Linked DNA regions of Oreochromis niloticus. The protein of the gene in region 2 binds, or shares a complex with, the protein of the main gene of each other region. Links are inferred from orthologs where the notes say so. Each region holds a gene or a part of one and is shown on either strand. Other genes may lie near its edges.

What was found.
Region 1: the proteins of prkaa1 (region 2) and prkag1 are in contact, whole or in part, in a crystal structure (PDB 6C9H), measured with the Homo sapiens proteins. The link is inferred for Oreochromis niloticus from reciprocal best matches to the Homo sapiens genes PRKAA1 and PRKAG1. Residues at the interface, in NP_006242.5 of Homo sapiens: Ser295, Ser296, Thr297, Met298, Ile299, Asp301, Glu302, Lys305, Arg342, Glu347, Ala348, Phe351, Tyr352, Leu353, Arg369, His371, Pro372, Glu373, Pro376, Phe377, Asn449, Val451, Thr452, Thr536, Pro537, Arg538, Gly540, Ser541, His542, Thr543; in NP_002724.1 of Homo sapiens: His36, Asp40, Leu41, Ile42, Pro43, Thr44, Ser45, Val50, Leu64, Val65, Gly68, Val69, Arg70, Trp75, Ser77, Lys78, Lys79, Gln80, Phe82, Pro158, Glu159, Ser160, Gly161, Asn162, Lys170, Arg171, Lys174, Phe175, Leu178, Phe179.

Annotation. Positions count from the first base shown.
Region 1 is NC_031970.2:23,221,262-23,228,367, reverse strand, and holds the start of prkag1 (5'-AMP-activated protein kinase subunit gamma-1), read right to left. Parts: upstream 3,054-7,106; 5' UTR 2,899-3,053; coding exon 2,890-2,898; intron 1,836-2,889; coding exon 1,784-1,835; intron 1,702-1,783; coding exon 1,601-1,701; intron 1,520-1,600; coding exon 1,438-1,519; intron 1,354-1,437; coding exon 1,295-1,353; intron 1,130-1,294; coding exon 1,084-1,129; intron 997-1,083; coding exon 942-996; intron 1-941. Other genes in the region: rhebl1 (ras homolog, mTORC1 binding like 1), read right to left, coding at 6,497-6,589, 6,706-6,787, 6,960-7,007. UniProt on the Homo sapiens protein: AMP/ATP-binding subunit of AMP-activated protein kinase (AMPK), an energy sensor protein kinase that plays a key role in regulating cellular energy metabolism.
Region 2 is NC_031972.2:15,614,676-15,621,632, reverse strand, and holds the start of prkaa1 (5'-AMP-activated protein kinase catalytic subunit alpha-1), read right to left. Parts: upstream 3,018-6,957; 5' UTR 3,003-3,017; coding exon 2,906-3,002; intron 1,077-2,905; coding exon 935-1,076; intron 1-934. UniProt on the Homo sapiens protein: Catalytic subunit of AMP-activated protein kinase (AMPK), an energy sensor protein kinase that plays a key role in regulating cellular energy metabolism.

The DNA.
Region 1 (7,106 bases), on a different chromosome or scaffold from region 2:
ATAAAAAAATTAAAAGAGCTGAAAATATCCAGTGAGTGACAGTGTACTGGGTGAAAATGCCTCATTGATGCCCGAGGTCAGAGGAGAATGGCCAGACTGCCTCAACCTGATAGGAAGGTAAGAGTAACTCAAACAAACACTTTCTGCATACAAACCAAGGTATGCAGAAGAAAATCCCTGAACACACAACACACTGAACCTTAAAGCAGAAAGCATTGAAAACATCTGGAGCATCAAGAGATGAAAAATATAACAAAGAAGATCCACGACTGCTGAACAGCTAGAATCCAATATCAGACAAGAATGAGACAACATTCCTCTTCTAAAAGTCCAGCAGCTTGTCTCCTCTGTTTCCAAACTGTTGTGAAAATGAGAGGCAATGATGCAACAATGCTGTTATTTAGCCCTTTAAACCACTAATCGTGTGTTTTACTGTGAATCTCAGCTCATCACCACTTGCCCTATTTTTTGTTGTTGTTGGTTTTTTGGGGGGTGGAGGGGGGTTGTTTTTTTACTTTACTTTTTAGTTATTTGATTTGTATGTGAGTGTGGTGTTTATTTGATTATTTGTGCAAAATATGAATACAAAGAAGAAAAAACACACTTAAAAAAAAAAAAAGAGGACGCTACACATAGCCCTGATATGGCCCTGTCCCAACATTTGAGACGTGTTGTTGACATCAAATTCAAAATTATTGTGGGTGGGTTTGCCATGTTTGGCAAACACACATTGCATTCTGATTTTATTTAGATTTCAACACAGGATCCCAAGGTTTGGGGGAATCGAGGTTGTATACTCTAGCCTTTCCTAATTTCCCAATAGTATATCTATGCAAAGTGGTTCTGGTCAACAAACTAACATCCAAAGGGACTTTTCAGAGTTTAATATTATAGTGCAAATAAGCATTCACAAACTTAACATAGCACATTCTGTTACTTACCTTGCATTAGGAGATATGCTAACCAGGGGCTTGAAAGAGTCTTGAAGGTACACCTCTATTGGAAATAAGAAAAGACAAATATGAACTTTCCCTTTAAGATATTACAAGTACATTATGTTACATATTAATAAAGGATTTTCACCTCTCCAGGTTTCAATTTTGTGCTCTTCCAACTCATATATCTGAACCTGAAAATTTATCATAAGTGAATGGAGGGATCAAGTAATGCAGAAAGGAAGAGAAAGTGCATGTTTGACCAAAAATAAGGTAAAATATACATAACTAAAACAACCTTGGATGGAGTTTAAGTTTGAGATTTAATTGGTTACATCTATTCCGTGTCTACATCTTACCAATGGAGATTTGTAATAGCGATGAAGAATGTTAATGAAGTCTGTGATGGTTAGCATACCTGCAGAGCAGAAACAGGAGTCCATTATTATTCAACTTTTTTTTACTTTTTAGTGAAACAGAGCCAAATGGAAGTTACTCTTACCAACGAAACACTGCTTCTTGCTATCCCATAAAGGCGCAGCACGCACCCCGTTAGAAACAAGAGCAAAGAATGCCTTTTTCACCTGAGGATGAATTGCACAACAGATTAAAGCTATACTAGATCATGAAAAATATATGTATTTAATTTAAGGCTTTTGTTTTACCTGAAGTGATGTATCAAACACAACTAATTTGGAGCTGGTGGGCACAAGGTCATAACAACGATGGGACTTCATAAACCTGGTGTACACATTGTGTTCTGGATCTACAGAAATGAGACTCAGCTGTCACCATTTTCTATAAATAACTGTTTCCCAGCATGACAGACTGTATTGCAAGCCCCTTACCTTCAATGACTGGGTCCTTCTTGCCCTCAAGATCATCAATAGTTACTGGAATCTGAAAGATAACGTTTATATCACCAAATGAAGTGATATTTTTTTTGGTTGCGTTCTATTTATTATATCACGCCAATATTGCACTGACTACAACACTTTATATTGTACATTTTAATATATACATTTTTTTTGACACAAAAGGGATACATCCATACAAAGCATTTCTAGAAATAACCTGATATTTCTAGAAATGGTTATTTCTAGAAACATGGTTGTGTTTATGTAAAATTTCGCAACCTGATATATTTGGTAAGATAACAATGTGGGAGTGGATGTTTTTGACATGCACGGCAAAGGCAGATCTGAAGTTTATTGTTTCTTTTAAAGAACCTTATCGTGGCTGATGTCGGAAAAAAAGTTTAGCCCGTGAGAAGTACAGCCCAAGGAGGCCTCTGATAAACATGTATTCACTGGAAGTGTCACTGGAAGTGTCACTGACAGGTCCGCCGTTTCCAGAGGAGTGATGAAAACCACTAAAATGTGAACGGTTTCATTGTTTATGACTTGACTCTGAGACGTGAGTAACTGTACTTTAACACCGAGCCATAGACTGCACTTGAGCAGCTGGTTAAACATCAAACAGTATAACTTTGCAGTCAAATAAGATCCGCTGTAATTGGTGAGATCATTTAGTGATTTCTGGGTGTCAAAAAAGACTCGGTTACACTGACAAGTAACGAAACTTTGGAAAATAAATACTATAACAGAAAGGTTAGCGGAGTATTTCCTAGCCTGTCAGTCAGTTGACATTACTGAGCCTGTCGAGGTGACTTTCTATTTACGCTAAGGCTCTTAAGCTGCGTCATTATGTCGTGTATTGTTATATTTTAGTGGTAATTGTACACAGGTACCGGGACTGATAATTATATGCGTTTTCCTGACAACTGACTAAGCGCAATAATAAGCGGGTTGGCCCCAACAACCACTCCACCAAGAATTTGCTCGCTAGCTAGCTTGTACCGTTAGCGTGCTTCAAAAAGTCGGGTAAGTTCATTTGGTTTAAACGTGAGAAAGCGGGCGTAAAACCACACTGTATATACAAGCTACTAACTTACACACTCCATGTTCCATTCGCTGGTTCTCCTCCCTGTAGCCGGTTTCGTGTGCAGCTCTCCAAACCTCGAAGGTCTTCCGCTAACTAACTAACAACGATCAGCATGAATGGTTGTGCTGTCTCTGCCGTAATTGCCGTAATATTGCCGCACTCCAGGGATGTCATTTTAGCTCTGAAGCAGGTAGCGCTCAGGAGTAAAGAATTTGTGGTTTGTTTTATTATTCTGTAATTAAGGGAGCGTTTAGGAGTTCTGTGGAATATTACTTTGAAGGAAAACTGAAAAATCCCCCAACTATTTACATTTACTCTGTTGTCTTGGAACTCTTGCATTCAGATGCTACATCTATGTATAATAAAGTGTGGTTGAACAAAAAAAAGTTAACGCTTAAGAAAATCTTTTGTAGTGCTTTTTTGCTCAGACAACTTCTTAATAAGGGGGTATATTCAGTATATTGTATCGATAAGGTATATTCAGGTATATACAGTAATATGTGGGACTCAGCCACTATTGAGCAGTATGAAGATGGGAAATAGGTAAATATTGAAAAAACTGGCTGAGAAAATACTGGGCATGAGTCTTTTCAGTTTCATGTCCAGTATTTTCTGGGCAGAGCAGAATAATTAGAAGCAGCATAACCTCTAACATATAACAATAATACTATATAATAAAAGAAGAAAGTACACTATACACGTCACAAGCATCTCTCTCTCTCTCTCTCTCTCTCTCTCTCTCTCTCTCTCACTCACACACACACACACACACACGTGTGTGTGTGTGTGTGTGTGTGTGTTTCATTGTGTAGCGGTTGAATGTTAATATGAGTGGAGATGGAGTCTTGGCCATTGCACAGACTGGTTGAAAATTACTGCACATTGTGATTTATCAGTCCCCACTGTGTGCTTGTCTATGTACACATGTGGTCTGCTGCTGTTGTTCATTGTAGAGTCTGACAGCAGCTGAAAGGAAATACAGATAATACAGATAGTATTGCATTGTGCAATGCACAAGAGTTGTAAAATATTTTACATCTGATAACTGTTTTGCAGAGCAGTAGAAGCATCTCCCATTATGAATATTATCAGAAACAGTACCACCAGTATCTCTTTTATAAGGCAAAAACATTGTGACTTAATTGCAGTTTTTGGAAAAATACAATTTTGCTTTGACTCAAATATAATGCCAGTACTAACTACCAGTACCATTTATTTTCAAATAATGTAAATATGCCTCTTTTACAGGACAATGAAAACCCAAATCACACCTCTAACTTTCTAAAAAAGAAAAAAACTTTACTACACTGAACTAAATAAATTTCCTTACTTCCTTCTCTTAGTATTTTCCACAGTGATTTACTTGTTCTTCCTCATTAATAGCTGAACTTTTATCTGGTGAGACTTGTGCACTGTATCTGCATCATCTGTATCACATAAACAAAGAACTACACACAACTTAGCTTTATTATTATTTGTGATTTTTTTTAAAAGAAAGTATGTCAATATGAATATTTAACATGATCTCAAAACTGAAAAAGAATCCCTTTTTATGCATTTATTTTAAGTAGCTTTGGGAATCACTATAGAACAACGAAAAAAACCCCAATTTGAATCATCTGCTAACAGCAACATTTTTTCATCACATATATCACCAATATAATCAATATTCACAATATAAGGATGCTCCAATATATTGGTATCTGCATATAATTGTCCTGTTGACCGTCATCAGCCTGTTAAATAATACTAGATGGACTGATGTCAGCAGTTATGGTTTTTCTATTGAGTAACATCAAATTTGAATGGGTAAAGTACTCAAATCTTGTAGTAAAGGGCAATAAAAACTTACATGTTTAAAAAATATTAATTTTTTTCCTTGTACAAAAAGTTGATTTAATAAAACTAATTTCACAAGCTAAGTTCCAAAAAGATGGCAAAATCATCAGACACATCAGATGAGTAACAGATTTATTTATATACAAAACTGTTTACAGCAAGATTTCTGAATCAACATTGACCCATAGGGAAATATTGGTGTTCAGGTGTACAACACCTGCACCCAAGGTGTCAAGTTAACAGACAGAAGGGGGGAAAAATACTTTTAAGAGCACCTTGAGTCATGAAAGGAAGCAGATGAGGGAGTTTGAACAACAGTAAGGCACAAGACACAGCATCACCAGCTTCTGTTCAACCATCATCATCAATCTGCAGCTATTCATTCAGCACAGCACTTGATAAAAAGTTACAATTAACCACTAAAGGTACAACATCGGGATTATGGGGAGAAACTCCACAGTTTGTCATGTATTCATAAGGCTACAGATTCTATGTGGAAAAACAAAAAAAACACATCATCATTAAGGATCTCAAGTATCTGAATGCGACCATGCAAGTCCACAGTTTGAATTGAGCGGACTGCATACCATACTGACTTGGCTTTATCGAACCCACAGGAACCATCAAATCAAAACCACCAGATCAAAAAAATAATGATAATAAATTCTAAGCTAACTCAGGCATTTTGCCACTTAACCTTACACAATGTTAAAAAGTATTTAAAAAAAAAAAACCCTCAATGTTCATAATTGACAATGCACATATATGCATAAACTCTACTTAGGATATTTAAGAGAGCAAAACTGCATCACTCAAGAGATAACCAATGATACCAAAAACCAATTCCTAAGATGAAATTTTTATTTATTTATTTTTTTTTAAAAAAGGCCATAAGTGGTAAATAGCAAAGATCTACTCAAATCTATCCTAAATCTCTCTGAGTGCTGTCCATAACATCTTTATTACAGTTAATCAGAAATTAAAATGTAGAAACGATGACAGTCTGTTTATCAGAACCTAAGATGTGAGTTGTCAAATATTTCAATATATAACAGACTTCTCTTGTCATAAAGACACAGCTCCACAGTTCATTAGTGAAAGGTACCTGAAGATGAGGAGACAAAGTTATTACAGTGAGGACTGTGAAACCACAGTGGGATATCTAATGTACAATGTCAGTATAGGCTATCCAAGGAAACCCACCATTTGTAAAAAACAATGACACTTTAACACCACATTTAAAGCAATGTGAACTGCGACTCTGCATCGATGCCAAAAAGGACCAGCTGAAGTAATACACCAGTCCTCGGAAAGACCATGAACCAGCCATCACTGGAGAGTAATAAGGCATATGCCAGTGATTTCTCAAAGATTAGGGGGAAAATGATGCAATCAACATGAAGCAACAAATCTGAATGTCTAATTTTGTTTTCCGAGGATTTTGTTCAACTCAAAAAAAAAAACAAAAAAACAAAACAAAAACAAAAAATATCAAGATTATGCCCAGACGTAGCTTACATTTCAATATTGGAAGGTGGTGTTCATCGAAGATGCTGCTTTGTTTAAAACAGAGTTTAATCCTTATCTTAGAAACTTCTCTGTCTCAGTTTCTCAACTGTCTGAGCAGTTGCTTTGCTATGTAAATTAATCTAACATCACAATGGAGCAGAAAAGTTCCACCGCCGTGTCTTGGTGTCGGTGAGGTCACGATTGGCAAGCTGGTGAAGTTGTGCCTCCTGTCTTCAGTAAGTTAGCTTACTGATGTGTTGGATACACTTTCACATCACAATGCACTTCTTCTCCTCTGGGGGAGCATTGCCATCAGCTTTCTCCATCTCCAAAATGATCCGCTTGAAAACCTCCACAGCAGTCTGCATTGCAAGAATGTTGCCATTAGAGTGTGAATGTTCTCAGAAATTAATGTGGACTCGGCTAGCATTCAGAGCTAGCATTCAGAGTTAGCATTCAATAAGGTATTTCTCACTACCTCGTTTTCCTTGGCAGAGGACTCCATGAATGCAGCACCCCAGGAATCAGCAAGTTTTTTTCCCTCCTCTGGCTTGATAACCCTGAAAGGAAAAAAAACAAGCAAAAAAACAAAAACAAACAAAAATAAATAAATAAATATTCGATTTTTTTTTACTTGAACTGCTAAAAAAAAAAACAAAACCCAAAAGGTGCTATTGGTACAGTTACCATTCTACTAAGACATATTTTTACACTTTCCGAAATCTGGATTACCTTTCCATATGGAGATCTTTTTTGTTCCCTACAAGAACAGTTGGGACCCTAAAAAGACAAAAACCTGAATGTATTAAACATAACTTAAAGGAAAAAAAAGAAAAGGAAAACAAAAGACAACATAGAAAATACTGAAATTTAAAGAAC
Region 2 (6,957 bases):
TATGCAGCCTCTACAGCTCAGATTTCACAGGTTTTAAATACAGACAACCAAAAAAAATGCATTGACAACGTGACAGTGTGAAGATATTTTAAGAAAACATTCAGCGCTTTTGTAAGCGTGCCCTACCATGGTGGATAAAACACAAAGGCAGTAATGTCTGCCATGCAGTCTGTAGCTCAGCAGATGTTAGAGATGTTCACTAACTGTGAACCTGATGTGTTGCAACTGCAGAAAACATCCCATCAATAAAAATGAAGCAGTATTATGTTATATTACTCGAGTTGTTATTATCCCCGCTAGACAGACAATGTTATGTACTTTGCCCCAGTGGTCTGTGTACCCTGCCAAAGATGGAATCACTCTCTCATGCGTAGACACACACAGACATAGCTTACATTTTTGTGCATGCTTAACATGGAACGGGTATTTCAGGCAATTATACACACCCCCGGTCAGTTTAATGACCCTGTAACTGTGGCCTTGAGTCTGTGAACATTCCCTTACCAAACAGGAAATCCCCTGACAACTGTCAGATAGCAAGTTTAGCTTAGAGGACCAGAACATTATGGGACAGTCAGCTCAGACTATGATGTTAAAAAATTACTCATTTGAAATGACACACTTATCTGCTCTAGCCTGACAGATGTTGACAGTAATACCAGCAGAGCAAGCTACACAGCTAGCCACAATAAAGACAAAGCCAGTGCACTTTTGTACATTAAAATGAAAGACCAACTGAGGGAATAACTAAACAGTCAATACTGCACAACAGGGAGAGGTCAGAAGAGAGAGTGGACTGAGTCAGACAGATACTGTCCTAGATGGATGTATTCTAAAACAACACTATAAAAGCCTGAAAATAGCTCAGTGGGTGGCATTAATGTAGTGGCAAGGGGATTATGGAGCAGTGAGCAGAGTGTAATCTAGGACTTACAGTTTAATTATGTGAGGGTGCCTGAAAAGCTTGAGGTTCTGGATCTCCCGGCGAATCTTTCCCACCACGTCCAAACTGCGGATCTTCTGTCTGTTCAAGATCTTCACTGCCACTTGATGCTTGGTCAGCTCATGTTGGCCCACTGAAGGAAAAAAAGAGTGGATGGAGCAATTCTATTACAACCAAGGCCATATAAAATAGGGAAGGATGACGTATTATGCAAAACAAGTCATCTTCACGCAACTTAAGGAAATGTGTAATTTGTTGTTTACACTATTAGGATAAAGGTTACCGGACATGCTACGAATCTTAGAGGTGAAACCTATTTTGGAAACAGAAGGCAGCATGGTGGATGAAGGACAGCAGCAATAGGACCAATATCGTGAAGTCAGTGTGAGGAATGGCAGATCTAAATCACCACTTCCTATCACAATTTTAACAATATAAAAAATAAAAGCATTCAAATTAAAGGAAAAAAAAAATGGAAGGATGGAAAAAAAAAAGTATTTTGTATTCAGTCAACCATATTCAATCACTCAGGCATATCACAGCATAGCTTTGTCATTTGGTATTATGGAAAGACTGTAAAACAGCTCTCTTGTTTTTGTTTTTTGCTGAAACTGGCTGCCTACTGAGTGTGATAAATCTAATGCTGAAACGAAAGTCCTTGAAGCAAATCTTGCCATGCACAATGTTGAAACACCTTCCAGCACCTATTGGGCACATACTTACGAAACATCAGTCAAAGCTAACCAAAGCCTTACTTCATCTGCTGTTTAAATTCAAGAGTCTTTGAACGCCACATCTCTACTTTATAAAGTCTCTAGCTGAAAGTGACTTAATGTGGGTGACCTAATGTAAATACATTAAGTCACCCACAAAAAAAAAAAAAGAGAAAGAAATCCTAGCACATGCTAAATGATCTGTAAAGGTGAGTGGGGATACACAGTCAATACATGAGCAAATAGGTCAAATACAGAGTCCTCATAACTGAAAGCGGTAAGAAGCCGCACCAGAAACAAAAAGATAACATCTGAATGGACGGTGGGAAGACAGCGCATTTGCCCATGGGAGTTAGCAAACAGCTGGTTTTGATTTACCAGCTGTGTCGGTAGTAATCAAGACCATAATCACACAGCACCAACTCCAGCTCTTTTCCCTCAACATCAACAAATAGCTGAGAGCTGGGAGATGACTCATTGGGAATTAACCGATCACACAGCTTGTGGTGGTTCCACTCCATTTCGATATATATTGTGGTTTCAGTGTTTCTACTGAACAGAACAGCCTGTAAGGTAAACAAAACAAGCAACGCGCAGACACGATTACTTTTCAGGAAAAAAAACAGGTTTTTTTAGTCTATTGCGTGTTGATAGTTGTATATTGACTTAAGCTTCTAAGCGTTCAGCCCTCTGCACTGACAAAGTGGGCGTAGATTCAGCAGAGTTTGTCCAACTCTCTCCATCTAAACTTCAGAATTAACACTGAATGCTTGAAACAGGCGACAAATACGACTCATGGGAAAAGAAGTTGTGAATGAATGTAGTGCAGAGTTGGGTTTAAAGGCAAGAGAGAGGAAACCGTACTTTACCGATTAAAATGTACTCTTGCTAGCGGCAACATCAATGAAGAGGGCTGACTTCCCGGTGTATGTCTCAACAAGCGCTTCGCTCGCTAGCACGCAACGCAACCGACGCTAAATGGCAAACTACGTGACCAGCTACAGGCCAATTTCATAAAACTTCCAGTGTCTTGTTTATCTTAGAAACGACAACGACACGCTCTAAAACCTGCGTTTTGTCACACACAAAAAAAGTTCTGATAATAGCGCGACAACAAGTGTGTTGCCTCCCCAGCACTGCGACAAGTTAGCTTTCCTAGTATGCTAGCTTAGCAGCTAAGCTAAAAGCTCCCTCTCCCACCGTCTCGCAGCTGGCAGGATGCATAAACGCCTGAGACAGTTACACATACCTTTAACCTTCCCAAACGTCCCCACTCCGAGAGTGTCTCCAAGAATGTAATGTCCAATTTTCACTCTTCCTTCATGCTTCGCTTTTTCCGTCGCCATCTTCCCGCAATGGCCTTGCTGCGGGGTTAGCTAGCTGCGGTAGAGATGGACCGGACTCCGCTATGTGTTTCTCCACTCTAGCGGCTCCGCTCAACACTGAGGGTGGGAGGCGTCCCGGCTCCTGTGCGATTCGTCAAAATCGTCAACGACGTAACATGTTGCATTTAAATGCTCTCAATAAACTCCGAAATTGTTAATCTGGGTGAAGTTCACGTTGTAAACTTGTTTTGGCCGGAAAATCTATCGTATAGGCTAAATCAGGGTCAGGAAGTGAAAGGAGAGAAAATGTGCGTTAGACATATATGAGATAGATAAATTATGATGTGCCCAATCAAATACTATGGAAACTCTGGATAAAGTCAGCAGTTTTCTGCCAATATGAAAAAAGGATTTTTGGCTGCTCCCTTATTGGGGCCCTATTTTTATCTGTCTAAATACAACATAAAAAGATTTTAAGAACTGACAAAATACCATCAGGATTATATAAAGGGAGTTACATAGTTCATACAGCATGAAATACATTAATACAGTGAACTATGTTTCATAAGAATCCATTCTCATAATCGTCTCAAATATATTTCCAATGCCTTGTTAACTTCATAAAAAGTATATAAACAAAAGCTGCACTCCAGTCCAAACTATCCAAATTACATTAAATGCCGCTTCAGCAAGGGCAAATTAGACAGGCTTATTGTATGCGCAGATTTCTGTTGCCTGGTGACAAAATCAGGTTTTGTAGGTTTATACTTAAGGCACAGTGTACAAGTGAAGGAGCATTTTAATGTAGATAGTGCACAGCACTGTTTGGAAGCAGAAAGCTCAATGTGGCGAATGAATCAGCAAACTCTGCTGAAATATGACTCCTGGTCCATAATTTATGCTGGAAAATCACGTTGAAATGAGTCATAGCCTGAAGATCAGTAAATATGGCTCGATTGTGTTGGAGTAAGTATATAATGCACCATTCTTTCCCCTATACTATTCAGTTCTGCAACATGGCAAATCCAGTTCATAGTTGTGGTTTTAGGCTCTTGTTTATGAGGTGGATATATATTTTTCCATCATCCCACCCTTCTGTATTTGTTGCACTTATTGTTAACTGTTAAAAATATTGAAAAGTTTCAAAGGTAAATATGGTAGGTTACAAGAAGAAAGGACACTCAACTGTCTAGAAACAGAAAGATGTGCACAATATTCATGGGAACCAGATTTCACAGCAATTGTAATTATTAATTTTATGGAGTAAAAAGTCTTTGAAATACTTGTTAAAATATGGTACATTTAATATGCAAACGTATCCAGCAAGAGAGAAAAAAAGACAGTTTGACCTTGCTGTGTAGTCTGTCTACAAAACTCCGTGAACTTTGTAAAGAACCACTCCTACTGTATGTCAAGACCTGAAGCATGAAAAATCCTTACAGACATGCAGGGAATATCAATGAACTAGTCAGGAGGAGAAAAACTCCTCACTGACACTAATGCATGACCACACAGATTATGGTTCTAAGGAGTGTCAAGGCTCATGTTTAAAGCATGGAACAATGAACCTCAAAGATCTTAAAAATCTTTCACTGCCTTTTTTAATTATTATTTTTCTTAAGTACAGACTGAAAAATACAGGTTTTGTTCAGTCAGTGATTATTTCAAAAAAAGAAAGGCATGGTGAACAGTTACCATGACTCCCTTGAGAATTCTGGTAGGAATTAACAGTGAGTACCAAAAGTCCTGTCAGTGACACTTAGTGTATTTTTGCAAGTGTGAATGTTGTACTTTGTATGCAGTCTGAGTCTCAGTACGTAGGGATCTGGTTCACTACAGTACACATAACAGGTATTTGATTGAGCTTCTTAGCACACAGAGAACTCAGTATACAACCCAGAAGTACTGCACTCAAGATAATATTTATACCCAAAATGATGATTTAAAGTAATTTGATTACATGTAAAAAAAAATTCGTGTAATTTTGTTACATAATTACAAAGTAAAACATTATATTAAAAGGATTATATTATATGTTTTTGATTGGTTGTTGCCATAATATGAATTTTAACAGTTGTCAAATAGGGCTATGAACCAACACAACACAACTGATGGTCCCAACCCCATTAAGAAGGCAAGAAATCCCACAAATGAACCCTGACAAGGCACACCTGTGAAGTGAAATCCAATTCAGGTGACTGCATCATGAAGCTCATTGAGAGAAGGCTAAGGGTTTGCAGTACTGAAAACAAGTAATAATATGATAAATATGATATATTATCACTTGAAGCTCACCAAAAGTACAGAAGTATTTAATCATGACAGCTATATACTACTGGTTGTCGGACACAAACAGCACTGTATCTGAGGGGCACTAAGAAGGGTAAAATGGCCATGTTTGTTTTGGTTTTTTTAACCGTACAAATCTTTGCATGTGTGTGTCATCATATGAAAGTATGTTCCTGAAGACACCAACTGCAGGAACAGTATTGTATTGTTAGTACAATATTGTATTATAATATTGTTGTCAGTATTGTATAAGTATTGCTTCATATCTTATTGTAGTATTTTTGTTTGTTTGCATCCACTAAGCAAGTCATGGGTTACAGTTAGAGCCTGGCTCATATAACATTTTTAAGACATCACTATTTGAGAATTAAAAAAAATCCAATATCCTGATATATCAGTCCATATTTGTTTTTCTTTCTGGCACATACATAAATAGCCCAAATATTTGTTATGTCTAGGGATTTCTTTACTTCTTTAATCTAGGCCCCACTCTGTTCTGATCAGCTGGTTGTATTTGTAACGATCCAAAGGTGAGTTGTCAACAGAGAAGTTGCAGAGTGCCCTCTGCTGGACATAAAGTGTAAAACACCAACATCCATAACATGGTTGAAGAGTGTTTCTCCCGTCTCTTCTTCACTTTTTAATATTTCATTATAAAGTCATTATAAATGCTAGATGATAATAGATAATATCGACTGAAAATATCAGTCTGATGATAAATCGTTGGGGCTCTAGTCACAGTTCACACCATAGCAAACTTAAATGTCATCCAGATGATTGTGGCAGCTTAATGAAAAAGACATATATACAATAAACACATTTAGTTGTGTAGTTAGTTATGTCATATGCCAAAGTGGCTTACGTGTCCACGTGACAATTAAAGGGATCAACCAGAGACGGCAAGGAACCGCAGATGCTAAATGCAAAAAAAAAAAAAAAAGTTGTTATTGAATTAATAACAATACTTGAACAACATGTCAGATTTATAATGTGGTTCCAGCGGGAAAAGTACTAAGAAAGCAGAGCAGCTAACCAAGTTTCCCAAAAGCTGAATGTTTCTATTTTCATAAGTGTATTTCTATGAATGTTTACTTAGTGACAGTCTATTGGTTCATTACAGCCTTTATGTGACTTTGCTTTTATACCACCAGTTATCCCCTTTTTATTTTTCACGTTTCACTTTTACATTTCGTTTTTACCAATAAAGGAGAGAAACCATGCCATAACTTCGACTGTCCAATAGATGGCGATGTCTGTGCAGGATCTGGTAAGGAGACAGATGACGAATACGCTGCTATATGCTGCCCTGCAGTCCCCTAAATCTCATAAACGCACGGCTAAGGCAGAATGAATTATGGCGTGCAACAAAAAGTGGCAAAAAATAGTTTTGTTGTTGAAGACCGAATATGGGCCTGCGGATCGGTGTCTTTAAAGAGAAACCAAGCAGTGCCAGCAAATTCATCTTCCTCCACTATGCTACCATAAGCTCCTGACAGTTTATTACATGCAACAGTGGTTATCATTTTAATTACAGACAGGCTTATTATAATCCTACTGGGCCCGCCTGTTTGCATGCTTGTTAAAGTATTGCTCATTATCCTCTACTCTGTTCCGCACGCAGGCAGCTGCTCTCCCACCTAACAAGGAAAGTGAATGGGCCTCGCATTTCATACAGAGAGCACAACAC